Rattus norvegicus: one gene and its partners. The protein of the gene in region 2 purifies or fractionates together with the protein of the main gene of each other region. This does not show direct contact. Links are inferred from orthologs where the notes say so. Each region holds a gene or a part of one and is shown on either strand. Other genes may lie near its edges.

What was found.
Region 1: the proteins of Rptor (region 2) and Mlst8 purify together in Homo sapiens (affinity purification with western blotting; 15 studies listed by BioGRID and IntAct, with this or other methods). This does not show direct contact. The link is inferred for Rattus norvegicus from reciprocal best matches to the Homo sapiens genes RPTOR and MLST8.
Region 3: the proteins of Rptor (region 2) and Cct2 purify together in Homo sapiens (affinity purification with mass spectrometry; 3 studies listed by BioGRID and IntAct, with this or other methods). This does not show direct contact. The link is inferred for Rattus norvegicus from reciprocal best matches to the Homo sapiens genes RPTOR and CCT2.
Region 4: the proteins of Rptor (region 2) and Sqstm1 purify together in Homo sapiens (affinity purification with western blotting; 3 studies listed by BioGRID). This does not show direct contact. The link is inferred for Rattus norvegicus from reciprocal best matches to the Homo sapiens genes RPTOR and SQSTM1.

What each region holds. Positions count from the first base shown.
Region 1 is NC_086028.1:14,002,368-14,005,682, forward strand, and holds the end of Mlst8 (target of rapamycin complex subunit LST8), read right to left. Parts: coding exon 3,309-3,315; intron 3,197-3,308; coding exon 3,033-3,196; intron 2,938-3,032; coding exon 2,819-2,937; 3' UTR 2,329-2,818; coding exon of another isoform or gene 2,234-2,328; 3' UTR 2,138-2,233; coding exon of another isoform or gene 1,984-2,137; 3' UTR 1,735-1,983; coding exon of another isoform or gene 1,633-1,734; 3' UTR 1,561-1,632; coding exon of another isoform or gene 1,405-1,560; 3' UTR 1,281-1,404; coding exon of another isoform or gene 1,212-1,280; 3' UTR 560-1,211; downstream 1-559. Other genes in the region: Bricd5 (BRICHOS domain-containing protein 5), read left to right, coding at 1,212-1,280, 1,405-1,560, 1,633-1,734, 1,984-2,137, 2,234-2,328.
Region 2 is NC_086028.1:105,375,440-105,379,768, reverse strand, and holds the start of Rptor (regulatory-associated protein of mTOR), read right to left. Parts: upstream 2,827-4,329; 5' UTR 1,914-2,826; coding exon 1,752-1,913; intron 1-1,751. UniProt on the Homo sapiens protein: Component of the mechanistic target of rapamycin complex 1 (mTORC1), an evolutionarily conserved central nutrient sensor that stimulates anabolic reactions and macromolecule biosynthesis to promote cellular biomass generation and growth.
Region 3 is NC_086025.1:54,578,138-54,581,444, forward strand, and holds the end of Cct2 (T-complex protein 1 subunit beta), read right to left. Parts: coding exon 3,254-3,307; intron 2,512-3,253; coding exon 2,370-2,511; intron 797-2,369; coding exon 766-796; 3' UTR 525-765; downstream 1-524. UniProt on the Homo sapiens protein: Component of the chaperonin-containing T-complex (TRiC), a molecular chaperone complex that assists the folding of actin, tubulin and other proteins upon ATP hydrolysis.
Region 4 is NC_086028.1:35,034,934-35,039,201, forward strand, and holds the start of Sqstm1 (sequestosome-1), read right to left. Parts: upstream 2,818-4,268; 5' UTR 2,784-2,817; coding exon 2,585-2,783; intron 627-2,584; coding exon 531-626; intron 290-530; coding exon 63-289; intron 1-62. UniProt on the Homo sapiens protein: Molecular adapter required for selective macroautophagy (aggrephagy) by acting as a bridge between polyubiquitinated proteins and autophagosomes.

The DNA of each region.
Region 1 (3,315 bases), about 91 Mb from region 2:
GTGACCTCAAATGCACATTAAACTCAAACCCACAATGATTAGGTCTGCCTTCCTCTAATTTCTTCGAGTAGCAGCTGTCTATATGGGTGGGAGCAAGGCAGGCGGCTGGGATTCCAACTCCCAAAATCATTCACAGTGGACATGGCCACTGTAGCCCCACCCTGCCTATAAGGAACAGGTTCTAAAGAAACAGGAAGTACATGGCGTAAAGCCATTGGGTAAAGTACTGTGGACATACGTACATTGAACCACCATGTCACATAGCTAGACAGATAAGGGGCCAAGACAAGAGTGCTAGATTAGAAAACATGCCAGGGAACAGAGACTGGCCTAACCACACTTAATGTGAAACAAGCTGAAGCAGTCATGCACATGGAAAAATCCAACAGCCCCATCTGATGCTAATGGGGTCTTGAAAGAAGCTGAGGAGTTTGTGAGGGAAGTTAAGAAAGTAATTAGTCGAGGTTGGGGATTTAGCTCAGTGGTAGAGCGCTTGCCTAGCAAGCGCGAGGCCCTGGGTTCGGTCCTCAGCTCCAGAAAAAAGAAAAAGACAAAGCAATTAGCCTCATACTGATGGTTCATACACATTTATTGATGGTTCCTGTGTCTAGCTCAGGAGTCCAGAGGTAACACACCAAGAAAAAAATCTGCCCAACCAGACAAAAGTCACCCTGGCCAAGACCTAGCCAATTCTAACATCAAGGCCAGCTCACACACACTCCAAAATCCCATGTTCTGCACAGGCCAAGAGTCCAGGGACAAACCTGGTAACCAGCAATCACAAGTGGGGGAGAGGGTTGTCCTGGCTCTGAGGCAGGCTATCAGATACTGGCTGGGAAGGAAGCGGTGGGGTTGGGAGGGGAGGATACAGTTCGATTCATCAAAGGCATCCTGAGGTTTCCCTGGCTGACTCCTCCAAGGGGCTGCAGACAATCAGTGCATTGTCAGCAGGGGCTGCAGCATGAAGCAGGGGCACATCCTCACTGAGAGCCTCAGGTCCAAGCCTGTTGAGGTAAGTCTCTACCACCCCCAAGACAAGAACTCAGGGATGCCATAGGAGGAGACAGGAGTCACCACCTACCATCCTCAGCCCTTTCCCTGAGCAAGTCGGCTCCCGAGTCTCTAAGCCCGAAGCCCCACAGCTAGTACTGTGCCCTCAGGTGAAGACCAAACCCTGCTACAGGGGCTGGAGAGCAGCAGGCTTGCTGCTGATGCTGACACTGCTCACTGCAGGGGCCGTGGCTGGAGGGCTTCTTGGTTTCACATACAGCCCTTCCAAGGTAAGCACCTCTTCCAGGGTATGCAGAGTGGAAAGAGGGCAGGAAGGCCAGTACCTGTCAGCTCTCGCATGGAGCCAGAGGATATGGAAACATAGGTTAAGGCTGAATCCCAAATACCCCTTAGCCATTGCTGCAGATGCTCCGAAAGACCTTCCTGAGCTCCCGGGTACCCTGGCCCAATCAAACCACTCTAGTGGATGTGGCCCAGAACATGGCGACCATCATGGTGACTCCGTTTCAGAGCAACCACAGCTGGGCTGTGCTCTTCGACGGGCAAAGTGTGAGTGGGCTTGGGAGGGGGAGAGAATGAAGGTGTCAGGAGTGGCCTCCACTTACCTATCTGCTCCTCCAGGGCTACATCTGTTACCGCCCTGCAGAGCACCAGGCCTGCTTCCTCCGTCTGATGGAAGCCCAAGATTGGGAGACCCTGCAGCTGCTGCTGAACACTTCCAGGGTGAGCAGTACTACTTGGCTTGCCACCCACAAACCCCCAAGGCCAGGGCATAAACAAAAGGTCCTCTGTACAGCCCAGCTGGGCCAGCCAAGGCTCTGGTTTCAGGGGAACAGAAAGCTCTATCTTCCCCTGACGAAGGCTGTTGACAAGGGCAGGTGGAAGGGCCATCAGGCTGGGGTGGGCATGAATGCCCTACCCAGCCAGGAGCAAGGAAGTACTATACCATGACCCACCAGAGTCTTTCTGCAGGCCCAAGAGTCACATGTACCTGGCCAGGACACCCACTATGCCCAGGAACTGCTGGCAGTTTTGGGAGGCCATGCTGTGGACCCTACCCAAGTGGGAGCTTCAGTGCAACACCTTTGTGCAGACACTCCTATCTACTGGGCCCGGTGGGCAGAGGGTAAGTTGGGGTAGGCTGGGTGAAGAGGCCTATGGCTCCTGCAGAACAATACTGGTTAGGGGGCCCTTGGGATTCATGAAGTTCCCTTCTCCTCAGGGCCCCAGAGACAGCGGCTGATCTACCTCTGCATTGACATCTGCTTCCCGAGCAACATCTGCGTGTCTGTCTGCTTTTATTACCTCCCAGACTAAGACCCCCTACCAAGTCCTCCCGACCTTTGCTCCCACAGGTCAGCCAGCTGCCAGGTCACCAGTACCTTTGGAAGGCAGCTGACGGTAGGGATGAATAAACCCAGATTGCCTGGCCATGGTGGTAATTTCTGAAGCAAGCGGGGGTAACATACCTGGGATACAGGCATCAACCTCCGATGTCCTCAACAGTTCCAAGCACTCTAGGTCTGGTCTCTCTAAAGGGAGAAGACTCCCAATCCAGGCACATGCAGCCTGGCTTTGTGAGCTTTCTGACAACAGATCTGGGCACGGAGAAAGTCCCAGGGTAGAGTAGCCAAAAAGTCTAGGTTGGCCAAGAGGGGCCGAGGGTAGTCGGGTCAGGTCCCACTGGCCTGATATGCAGAGGCTGACCTGAGTCTCACTTGGAGCAGGGTATTGTTCAGGTACATCCTCTTAGAGCCACTAGACCAGGCAGTCCTGGTTGCCCAGTGCAGCCCTCAAGGGGCAGGGGCTAGCCCAGCACGCTGTCGTTGAAGGCCAAGCAGACGACAGCTTTCTGATGGCCACCATACTCTCTCTTGATCTCTCCAGTCTCTACACACCAGAGCCGGGCCAGGTTGTCTGAAGAAGCTGCAAGGAGAGATCAGGCAGAAGTGAGGTAGCAGCTATGAGTGGCCTCTCTGGCGGACTTGGCAGTGTGTGGGGGAGAGGAGGGCAGGGCTTACCTGTGACGATATACTGGGAATCCCCTGAGAAGGCGCAGCCCCACATCCAGCCACGGGATGACTCTCCGGGGTTACTACTCTTGATGCTGAGTTCTGTCATCAGGGAGAAGTTGGATGTCCTCCAGATTTTACACGTCTGGTCAGCCGAACAGGTCGCAAGTAACCTGGAGTTGGACATGGGGCGTCTCAGTGGCCACTACCACCCCGTATCGACTTAGCGCGCGCCAGGTCATGCCCCAGCTTACAGGTTCCCTTCCCCCGGGGCGCTACACGCACGTGGAGT
Region 2 (4,329 bases):
GGCCCCTAGGACCATTTAGAGGTAGATACAGTGGTACACATCTGTAATCCTAACACTTGGGAGGTGGATGAACCAGGCCAAGGCCATTCTGACTAAACACCAAGCTGGCCTGCACTACATAAAGCCCTGTCTCCAAAGAGAGAAACATTTTAAATTAAAAGTTCAAAAGATATCCATTGATGTGATTTCAATAGTTTGAGTACAGGTTTGGATAGCAAAAGGAACCACATTCTGGGTTCAGTCCCCAGCTCCGAAAAAAAGAAAAAAAAAAAAAAAAGGAACCACATTCAAAAGGAGGAAAAAAAAATTTTAAATAAAAACTGGACAAAATAGGACTGGGGAGGGGGGAAAGGGAGAGAGTTGCTATATATAAACATTACAACCAAAAAGAAAATGTTATTTTGTTAGTACTAGACATGTCTATAAAACAGACATTATGCAGTCTCTCTCAACCATCAGTTCTATAACTTATATTGCTTCTATTCTTCTTGTTTAAGACAGGGTCTGCACTTTGTAGTCCAGGCTGGCCTTGACTTGTGATTCTCCTGCTTTAAGCTCCAGAGTGTTGGGATTACAGGACTGACTGACCTTTGCCCAACCTAAACTGCTTTTCACTGAAGGAAATTTTCATAACTTTAATCCCAGCACTCAGTAGGCAAAGGCAGGCAGATCTCTGAGTTCAAGGCCAACCTAGTCTACAGATTGAGTTTCTCGACAGCCAGGGATGTTACAGAGAAACCCTGTCTCAAACAACAACAACATCAGCAACAAAAATTGATAGCCTTGTAAAATTTACCCAAACTGAAACACTGGTCCCTGCTAGAACTACATTGAGTATTCATCAATATACACCTTTTTAAAACAACTGTCTCAAGTAAAAGCATATCAACTATAACAAATGACACATTATAACACCAACTTCCTCTTTTATACTGAAAAGTTCACACAAATGTACAAAGTCAGGAAGGAGAAAACAACTAAGCACTCAAAGGATGAGTGTGCAGACAAGAGACAGTACTCCCCTTTTGCTAGATCAGGAACTGACCGCTACATCTGGCTGTTTTCTTTGCTACAACTACTCATGACACTCCACCGGCAGGAGAACGGCCTAAAACCTGAACCCAGGTTCCAACCCATCATACCCCATGCTCCCAAATTTCCCACTGAGGAAATATCTCCAGGTTACAGCGACCAGAAGTCACATACTAGGGGAGTCAGCCTCCCACGGAAGATGTTCAAAGGACTGGGATGAAACTTGCTGCAACTTTAAAATAACTTTGCCTTAATTTGTTATTGGCTAAACATTTCAAGTAATCGTTTCCCAACATACTGTACCAGACACCTGTACTTCAACCTGGTTATTTGGAAAAAAAAAAAAACAAAAAACAAAAAAACAGCAGATACAAAAATAGACTAAGCACGACGTTAAGTGTTATTTCCAAAATTGTCTTTTCTCTAAATGCTACTAAGTGTATTAAAAGGCACATAAATATCTGTGGAACAACAGTTCCTAATTTGCTTTTTCCACCCTCTGAATTAAAACTCTTTTGAATTAACACTACCCAGTGAGTATCGACTAGCCCTACCCACTTTCAACCAAAACCAGAGTCTGGAATAACTTTTAGTTTTTAATTAACGTGCAACATGTGGCTTCAAAATACCAGCATTCTTCTAGGAGAGGCTGTTCTTGCTCAGAACTTTCTTAGTTGGAAAACTATGAACTCAAAAAGATGCCATGAGAATCTACTTACCCGATCCTTCATTCTCCAGCTCTGTGCTAAAGATTTGGAGCCTTCAATTTTCTCACAATGTCTCTTTTTCATAAACGCCAAAGGCAAGTTCCAATCTGTAAGGTCTGCCTCATCTTCCTCCCCGAGTCCCATAAGAGGCGACTGCAGCATCTCCGACTCCATCAGGGGAGGAGGGGGAGGGGGAGTCCTTGGCAGCAAGCGCTCGAGAACCTCCAGCCTTAAAAACTAGTGTGTACCAGAACTGGTAAAAGGAAATACAGGAAAGCGGGAAGTTGGGAATAGAGATGACGGCAGAGTGCACGAAGGTCCTTATTCAGGTAAAAACTCGGAGATCTTTATCTCGAACTCTGAGCGGGAAGTCGGAGAGGGCGGGGTGGGGTGGGGTGAAGAATCGGTGGGTAACCAACCCCGCAGCCCCAGGAGCTGCGCCGACACTCGCGCCCAGTCGCAAGCCACCCGCAGCCCAGGAGGTCGTCTGGAGGACTGCAAGCCGGACTGTCAGAGGCGGGAAAGACTTCAGGCCCGGGGATGACCCTGCTCTCGGCCTCCAACGCCTCAGTGGATCCCAGGGCAGGCAGGCCGTCCCGCTCGCAGTGCGGGTTCTCTGATTGCGCTGGCTCGGCTGAGGCGTCAGGGGATCGCGCTCAGGGGGCTTCGGGGCTCGTCCAGCGGCTCTCAGCCCTGCGGGTCCCGCACTCGCCTGAGGGGCTGCAACCTGAGCCAGGACCGGCCCATCGTGCCCGTCCGCAGTCGGCTCCTCAGCCCCGGGTCCGCGCGGCCTGGCCGGTGCTGGCCTTCGGCTTCGTGGCTCTCTCCTGCCCGGGAACGAGTCCTGATACACGCGCGACACGGGCCAGCGGACCACACGGGAATACTGGGCTTATTAGGTCAGGGGAGTTTTGCCCTCTGCTCTGGAGCCACAGTGAAAACTCCTCTCATCAGCACATCAAGGAGGACGCCATATTACCAAGGCCCAGCATGCACCGCTGTCTACGGTGTGTCCAATAAGCCAAACCTCTTCAAGCGTTCTCACCGCTCTACCCAGGCTAGGGCGGAGAGTTCGGCGTTCCGTCCTCCCCTCCCCCACGCCGTTACCCGGGTTACCAAGTCCTTTCTCCTTAGTTGATCTCCACTAGTAAAGTAGACGTGTTACAAAATCAATCCTGCGATTGAAACCATGTCCGTTCAGTTATTTTTTAAAAGCTTTTTGCTACTACAAACAAAGCTGCGTGCCTTGATATTAAAGGAAAAAAAAAAATCACTTTGTTTCGTCCTGATTTTAAAGGGTGCTATTTAAAAAAAACCTCAGAAAGGACTGTTGTTGATATTAGACACATAACACTATCAGGGCTTTGTTTTTAATATTCCCACTTTTAAAAAGGGAAAGATTTCATCGATTATGAATTAATTTTGTCTGATCTACCTTATTTCCTGAGTATTATACTCTTATTTTGCTACAGCTTCATGTGCAAACGACTAAGGCTGCTGCTGTCTGCCCACGGAAGCAAGCCTCCTGCCCTGCCTTACTTCTCTGTTTCAATTCAGTAAATCTCAGTTATTGACACACCCTGAGAACTGCTTTGGTGCAGTGGGGATATAAAGTAAACGTAACATGTGCCAGCCTTTCATAACCAGGGTGCTAGTGAGACACTCTTAACCTTTAGCTAGATTTCAGGCAGACGAAGGAGCCCATCTTCAGCTTTGGTGTTGGAGGCATCTCTGTTAGAGTCAGTGTTACTAATTTCAAGCTGTATTTTCTCAGCCTTAGGTTCCTGAACCATAAAGTTTGGATAATAATATTAAAGAATATTACTGAAAGGATAAAATTAGCTTGTGAAGATGCCCAGGCCACCCTAAGCTACAAAATAAGACCCTGTCTTTAAAGAAAAAAAAATCCCCTTTAAGAACAGGGTTGAAAGGTGGGCCCAGTGTTTAATCTCATTACTCTGGAGGCAGAGGCAGGAAGATCTCTTAGTTGGAGGCCAACCTGGTCTACGAAGCTAGTAGTTCCATGAGAACCAGGGCTACACAGAGAAACCCTGCCATGAAAAACAAAAACAACAAACAAACAAGATGCCAAGACATAGCAGGCCACCAATGAGAGTGAACTCTGACTGGTCCCACCACTCTAAAGTAGTCTACCAACTGTATGCCTTACCACTAAAGCCTGGATTAGCCTTCCAAAGATGTGTTCCTCAGAGTAGATAGAGAGTTGGACATAAAGTGGCAGTCCCTACCACAATCCTAGTAGCATCTGAGCTGCTTTCAGCCGGAGAGTTCAGGCTGCATCTCTCTCACCAGTATGTGGGAAGTGTTTCCTGTAGCTCTCTGTTCAGTTATCATCCCAAGAATTCCTGTGGTTACAGTATCACACAGAGCCCATTATCCTCCTAGTCTCGGAGCAGTGCTCCAAAATAGTGTCCCCATCACCACCAGCCCCTCCCCATCACCACCAGCAGGGGCTTCAGGACTTCCGGGATGTCTAGAAGAAATCCCAGCATCTCCTGCTTCCACCTTGTCCCTCTACTTTATTTTGTAGTTCTGATGCCCACAGGTGCCGTCCCCACATGATAATTCC
Region 3 (3,307 bases), on a different chromosome or scaffold from region 2:
CCCCCTTTCCCTGAGGGCACCCTGATGCTCTGGCAGCCAGTAAATCTAAGCTTTTCGGCAATCTTCAATTCTGTGCACTCTGCAATATTCTGATTAACTTTCGCATCTATGTCAAGTGTAAATTAAGCCCAATACATTTCAGTTCTCTACCTAACAAAACAGTCATACTATCATCTAAACAAACGCACTATCTTAGGAAGAAGTTATCTTCTTAAGGCACCAGAGAGAGGTGGACAGTTAAATGTCACTTTTCCAAACTTGAACAGTGTTGTCTAACGTAAATAAGAAAGGGCACTTATATTAAACTAAATCAGAACTGTACCTTATGGTACTTCTACTCTAAATTAATGTTCAGTAAAAGCTATGCATGACTGAGTGTGTGTGTATGCATAATCAATTACTTTATAAAAGGATAAAGTCAGGAATTGATTAGGCTGAAACAACTCTTCACCGAGGAATGATTGCTTCCATAAGTAGATTTCAAATAGGATATGATATATACAGATCACTAAGACATTAAGGACTAAGTAACTGATTTTTTATTTTAATACACAGTATGAGAAATGAACCTGTAAATCAACTGAACTGTATGGAAAATGAAATAGCAAATAAATTAGACCCATGTTTAACACAGAAGGTCAGCTAAATGTTCAAACTTAAGGCTGTCATGGACACAGCAATTCCATAGTCTTCTTTAAAGGGTGAAGTCTTTCAAATACAGCTTTGCTATGAACTGGTCCAGAGTTCAACAGCAAATGGGAATGCTTAACAGGGGTGGTGATCAGGGACACGTTTCCTATAAGAAAAAAAATCACATTAACAAAAAGTAAAAAAATGAGAAGTCTGATTTCAACTAGATTCTCAATGACTACAAATACAAGAACCTTTGTCTCACTAAAGTCACTGTGGGTCCACTTCCCATAAGGACGTAACACCACTCAATCAGTCACACTTTAAGAGGACACAGGAAAACTCATGCATCATGTAGGCCTGTACCCAACAGTTCTGTGTCTGACCCAAACAACCTACTTACTAAACAATATACCTCCCCCAAAAGGCTAACCTGGTTTTTGCTTTACTATATACCCTAAGACTAGACTTGAACTTGCAATCCTTCTGTCTCAGTTTCTAAGGAATATACTACTATACTTGGCTTACTTCATGTTTTTGAATGTCAGGATTAGGAAAGTTTACCAAATTCATCAGACAGATACATCAAATCAAAGCCAAACAACGACACAGGGGTCCTGGACGACAATCTACTCAGGAGCACAGGACTGCCCACAGATCCGCTAGAGCAGAGAACACACTGTGCCATAATCATCCCTCATGCCTAATTCTCCAGTGACCGCACGCACAGTGACGGAGACATAACGAACTGTTGCAAAGGGACGGCAGGCATATCAGTGAAATTTTAACTTTATATTTGTTTTAAAATGCTTTTAAACATTTTCGAATTATACAGTGTGAGAAAAAGTGAGAATTTTAAAAATCCACATATGTGAGATTCTGGGACAATTAGCGAGCACCCCCAGGAACTCTCCGAAGTTTCAAAGTTAAAGAATTTTAAACTTGCATCTAACAATCTTCCACTTAAGATATTTGGGCTTCCTTTAATGGCAGCTTCTCTGTTCACTTACAGAACACTTCAAAACTGCAACCTGCACTTCAATTTCCCCTTTCTGAGGGAGACTGTACTTTGAGTTTTCTTTTTTGAACCTTCTATAGGATTAAGTTTATCCCCACCACTCCACTAACACTGCATGTCAAACCAATGTTGCTAAGGCCCAGGTTCTAAGTAAACTGTCGCCACCTTCTTTTCACTTGGCATCCTGGGCACACTCTTTTCCTTTTCCTCAGTGGCAACTATTCTACCCCAAGGCAGTAGGAACTGAAACATCTAAATCTGTGAACCCAAATAAATCCTTCCGTCGTCACAATTTGACACAGCAACATGAAGCAGACGGATGCACTTAATTTAACCACTTCTGTGTGACAGCATTTTAAAGAGAACTTAGTTACTTTCTACAATATGAACCTGGAAAGGACTTGTCAATGGGTACTTGAGAATGTTTATGAGCCATGCATGTGTAGGGCACCTGCCGTCTTAGTGCTTGAAGCTCAGACACTCACAGCTCCCTGATCCTTGACTTTCATAAGCCTGGCTCTTTAGTCCTTCCAAGATGAGTGGGCCCCTGGCTACCCAAACCACTTTCTTCCTAAGCCTTTCTAATCTTAAGAACTATGACTACATATTTTAGATAGCTTATGTAACAGTCTACTAAAATAACTGTCCCGTTAAATACAACTATCAAGCTCCCTGGACTCTGTCTCAGTACACTGTCCCAGGAGTGCAAGCGCTCTAGTACCTTGGTGCCGCTTTGATGATGTTGTCCACTCGTAGAATCACCTCTGCTGCTTCCGCCGCACTCAAAAGAACCTGCCGCTTCACTTGAAAGCTCTCGGTTATACCCAGTACTGCCATATCACCAATGCTGCCTTCCTTCATATCTGAAAAGGCAGTTATTAAAGTAATAACAAAAGGCATTAAAACATCTTACCTGATGATTTGTAATAAAACTAAAGCTGTTACTGCACCTAAGTGCCTGATTTAACTAGGTCATCTATAAAAGCACTATTAAAAACCATGGCAAGAACAACTGTTAAGCCTGGCAGCAGAGCTGCAGGTCTAGAGGGCTAGGTTCATATGCTCAGAGTGGGGCTGCCTTGCTCAGAGAAGCTGCAGCAGACAGAGTCCGTGGGGAGCCTTGTGACTGGGGAAAGTACAGGAAACAAATGCCTGAGTGCTCGGCCCTCAACAGGTCTCTGAGAACACTGCAGTGTAGGGTAGAAGGAACAAAGAGTTGGAGGAGGAGGATGCTCTGGAGTGCTACCTTCTGGACCTGAGAGGCCCATTAACATTCCATCTATCATTGAGAAGAAAGGGGCTCCTACAGGCCCATCCTCACTGACAAGCTACTATGGCTGCTGGGGAAGGATGAGTCATATTCCTCAGGGTACAGCCTTGAGAAGGCACCTTTATCCAAGTAAATAACCTTCCGCCCATGTGAGCAGGAGAGGGATCTGGAAACAAAGGGTTCAGTGATGGAGAAAGGTGTTATGAGAACAAAGGGAAGGGGATATGACCAAAGTGCATCGTGTGTGTGTGTGTGTGTGTGTGTGTGTGTGTGTGTGTCAATAGAAATGCATATGTATAAAGTCCAAATATGCAGAAGTCCATTTGATTTCTTACCCAGTCCAGCAGTTATACGGCCTTCACTGTGAGCAGCTCGGAGCTGTGCCACCA
Region 4 (4,268 bases), about 70 Mb from region 2:
AGGGTTTCCAGCTCCCACCACCCTGTCCGACACCGCCCCAGGACTGCAGAGAACCAGCTCACATCAGAGAGGTGGCCAAAGGGGTTGGGAAAGATGAGCTTGCTGTGCTCCCTGTGCAGGCCCTTCCCCTCGCAGACGCTGCACAGGTCGTAGTCGGGGCACACACTGCACTTATAGCGAGTTCCCACCACAGGCCCATTGCAACCATCACAAATCACGTTGGGGTGCACCATGCTTCGTGCCTCCTGAGCACATGGGGGGCGATGTTCCCGCCGGCACTCCTTCTTCTCTGCAGGGAGAGTCCAAGAGTCCAATTTAGTTGCAGGTAAACCACTTAGGAGGCCAAGAGGTACCAAGCCCTGCTCTGTTCAACACCCATGGCCCACACAGCAGGACCTTTGTACCTCTGACACCTCCCAACCCCCCTATATCCACCCCAAGGCATCAGAACTCATCTCTGTCCTAGAGACAACTCAGACCCCTGAGCCTTAGAGGAAGTCCGATGGGAAGTACCTGGATGCAGTCTTTACCTTTAATGTAGATGCGGAAGATGTCATCTTTCACATAGGACATGGCCATTGTCAGTTCCTCATCACTGGAGAAGGCGACCAAGTCCCCATCCTCATCTAGATTGTTTAGGAAACAACATATCAGAGCCAGGGACACAGCTCATTGGTGGAGCGTGCAGAAGACTTAGGTGCCATTCCCAGAACTAGAAGCCGAAAGGGCAGCACAGGTACCCAGCATCTGCTGGATGCCCACTGCTATGTACAGGGAGCCCAATGGTAAGGGACATCTACAGAGGCTCTAGACGCAATCTGAGTGCTGGAGCAAGCAGCCAGATGGCCACTCATTCTGATATGGCGTGAGTACATGTTCTAACCCAAGTCCTAGATCCGGTACATGCACAAGGCAGAGCATATGTCATGTGTGTAAGGGTCCAGCTTCCTGCCACAAACCACTGGGCCATTTGTGCCCTCAGGCCACACGTAAGTAGGCCAGGTCCATTTTCACCTGGGAGATTCCAGCCAGTACCCTGTCCTGATGGTCCAGCCCTTCAAAGGCCTCAGGCTTCAGAAGGAAAGGAGGTAAGCCCATCTGTCCCCTCCCTTCAACTACGTGACCAGAAACCACTGTGCATTCAGACGCTGTCTAAGTTGTTCTGAGGTTGAGGTTGCTCTGTTGGTTTTGTTTTTGTCAATTCTAGGTTTTCTGCGCCCTGCCTGGCCTGAGACTGCTTAGAACAGGACAGCCTCCAACTTGTGTAGGTGAGCCTCCTTAGTGCTGGGATCACAAACATATGCAACCAAGCTGCCAAGTGGTTTGGGTTTTTTTGGGTTTTTTTTCTTTTTTGCCTTTTGATATTTACTTTTACATATGTATGTACGCACTTGAACACACAGACACACACACACACATACACACATGCACACTTATGTGTATGCATGTGCCACGAAGGCCATAAGAGGGTGTGGGATCCCCAGGAGCTGCAGTTGATATGAGCGCTAGGAACAGAACTTGGGTCCTCTGGAAGAGCAGCAAAGGCTTTAACCACTGAGTCATTTCTCAAACCCATCTGCTTTCATTTTTACATTAGCACACAGGTACTGGGAGCGCAGCCATATATTTCTATGTCAGTACAAACAGTCTTCAACCACCTCATACAGGACAAACCACACATCTGCAGGCTAGGATATATATATATATATACATATATGTGTGTGTGTGTGTGTGTGTGTGTGTGTGTATCAGGCTAGGCTATACACACACACACGTAAAATTTATAAAAAAAAAAAAGATTCTAAACCGAATGTGATAATAGTTATATAACTCACTTTTTAAAAAATGCAAGGAGTTTGGGGGGCGGGGTGGTAGCTCAGTCAGTCGAGAGCCTAACATACATGAGGCCCTAGCACAAAGATGACTCGGAAGGACATTAAGACCTGGGTGAATTGTACTGGACCTAGGTTAAAACTCACTTACACTGAACATTTTTTGTCCAGAATAATCCCTATGATTCCTGCACTGGAAAGCTGAGACAAGAGGATTGAAGTGAGGCCAGCCTAAACCACTCGTAAATTCAAGGCGAATCAGGCTACGTGGCTTTATCTCAGAAAAGAGACAGACTGATCAACCAACCTGGCCTACCCACAGTCCTCCATAAAGAGATCTCAATCTTATCCCCTCCCAGGGGGAGGGCCTTGTCCACTAGTCTCTTGTCAACAACTTCTAGCTCCACCCCATGCAGCCATCAACCACTGCAACGCAAGAGACGGAGCTAGTTCCGGGGTCCCCTACCTCCCTTCCCACGGGCTGCCCCACCCCGCCCCCGCCGCTTATTTACCCGCGTCACTGCTCTCCACCCCTCCTCCACATCTGCCCGGTCCCAGCTCTTCCGGGCCTTTAACTGAACCCATCACCTGATGATACGAGGAGCAAGCGAACCGCGGGATGTCAGCTGTAACCTGAGCGGCCGCCTGACCACCCTGTCCCCGCGGGCAGCCAGAGGACACGCCATCGCGTCCTCGCCCAGACCTGATACTCCGCGGCGGGGGAGGATGGCTTCCCCGCCCCGAGCCCTTACCGCGGTAGTGCGCCTGAAAGCCTCCAGGCCGCAGCGCGGGGAACAGCACAGCCACCCGGCTCAGCAGCCTCTCGCAGGGCCCCGGGCCAGCCGCGGCTTCCGCCTCCGGCTCCGGGCTGAAGCAGAAGCTGAAGCGGCGGATCTCGCGGGCCGCCTCCTCCTTGCCCAGTAGATAGGCCTTCACCGTGAGCGAAGCCATAACCGCAGACTAGGTACGGAGGAAACAGCTGGGCAGCGGCGGCTCCGAGAGCCCAGCTTTTATAGGATACGGGGGGAGCCCCGCCTCGTGGGGGGCGGAACCTCTCTGAGCTCCGCCCCTCCCCGCTGTCCGGGCGGCCGCTCGAGGGCCCTTGATAGGACCCCTGACAGGTATGGGGGCGAGACGCCCCCACCGCCTCCTCTTTTTCTTTCCCTCCGAATGCATGGGTGACCCCAAGAGACCAGCCTCAGTCTCAGTTCGATGGGAAAAGGGCCGGTAAGTATCCGAGCCTAGGCTCCTCCCAGGTTTGGGCCTGCTTATGACTCAGCAGTGTAGTCCCCAAGCCAAGGGGGATGGATGCCCCAGCACAGAGGCTCAGACGACACAGATGCCTACTGTCAGGTAGCCATTCCTTGGCCAAACAAGCTGTTTCACGGGATACTGTTCCAACCCTCCCAAACTTAGTGTCCCCCGTAGTAGCCCTCCACCCTACTCTCTCTTCAGGCATCCACCATGACCAGCCCCTCACTGAATAAAGGGACATCATCCATATGTTAGGCCTGATCCAATTTGACAAAGACTGGATGTTGGACTAGCACTGGTGACTTCTCACAAACCCACCCTGTAGGAGGGGTAGCCAGGGCTCCAGAAACTGCAATAGTCACCACTACTAAGACTGAGATTCCTCACAACAACCCACATAATACACACACACACACACACACACACACACACACACACACCACAGCACACAGGCTCTAAGGGCGGAGGGGAAGGAGCATGTATCTCAGGCCTTAGTGGCTTCAAAGAGCACAAAGGAATCAGACCACTTGCCCTCCAACTAGGAACTAAAATACAGGCTTTAGCCAGTCCTGTGACACAGACTTGTTATCCCAGCTGTTTGAGATGCTGAGGCAAGAGAATACCAAGTTCAGGGTCTGCCTGAGCAGCTTGGTGAAGCTGTTTCAAACTAGAAAGTGATCTGAGTACTTGGGAGGCCAGAGGTTCCGGAGTTCAAAGCCAGCCTTGGCTACAAGAAGCCTCTCAAAAAAAGGGGGGGGGGGGGCAAAATAAAGAGGCTGTCTATGCAGTTTAGTTAGGATACAACTCATGGGGATTTAGCTTAGCATGGATATACTCAGGGAGATTTAGCTTAGTAGGGATACAGGTCATGGGAATTTAGCTTAGCATGGATATACCCAGGGGGATTTTAGCTTAGTAGGGACACAGTTCATGAGGATTTAGCTTAGCATGGATATACCCAGGGGGACACCACTAATGGGGATTTGGTGCATAAGGATTTGGTGCTCAGTGACAGAGTACCTGCCTGGTATATGTCACATCTTAGGTTCAACCCTCAGCACGAAGGCCAAAACCAGGAAATGCTGCTTTCTGTGGCAAAAGTGACCTGTTAGCTAGCATGATGACACACATCTGTAATCCCAGCACTTGGGAAGCTGAGTCAGGAGGAATTCAAATTGAAGG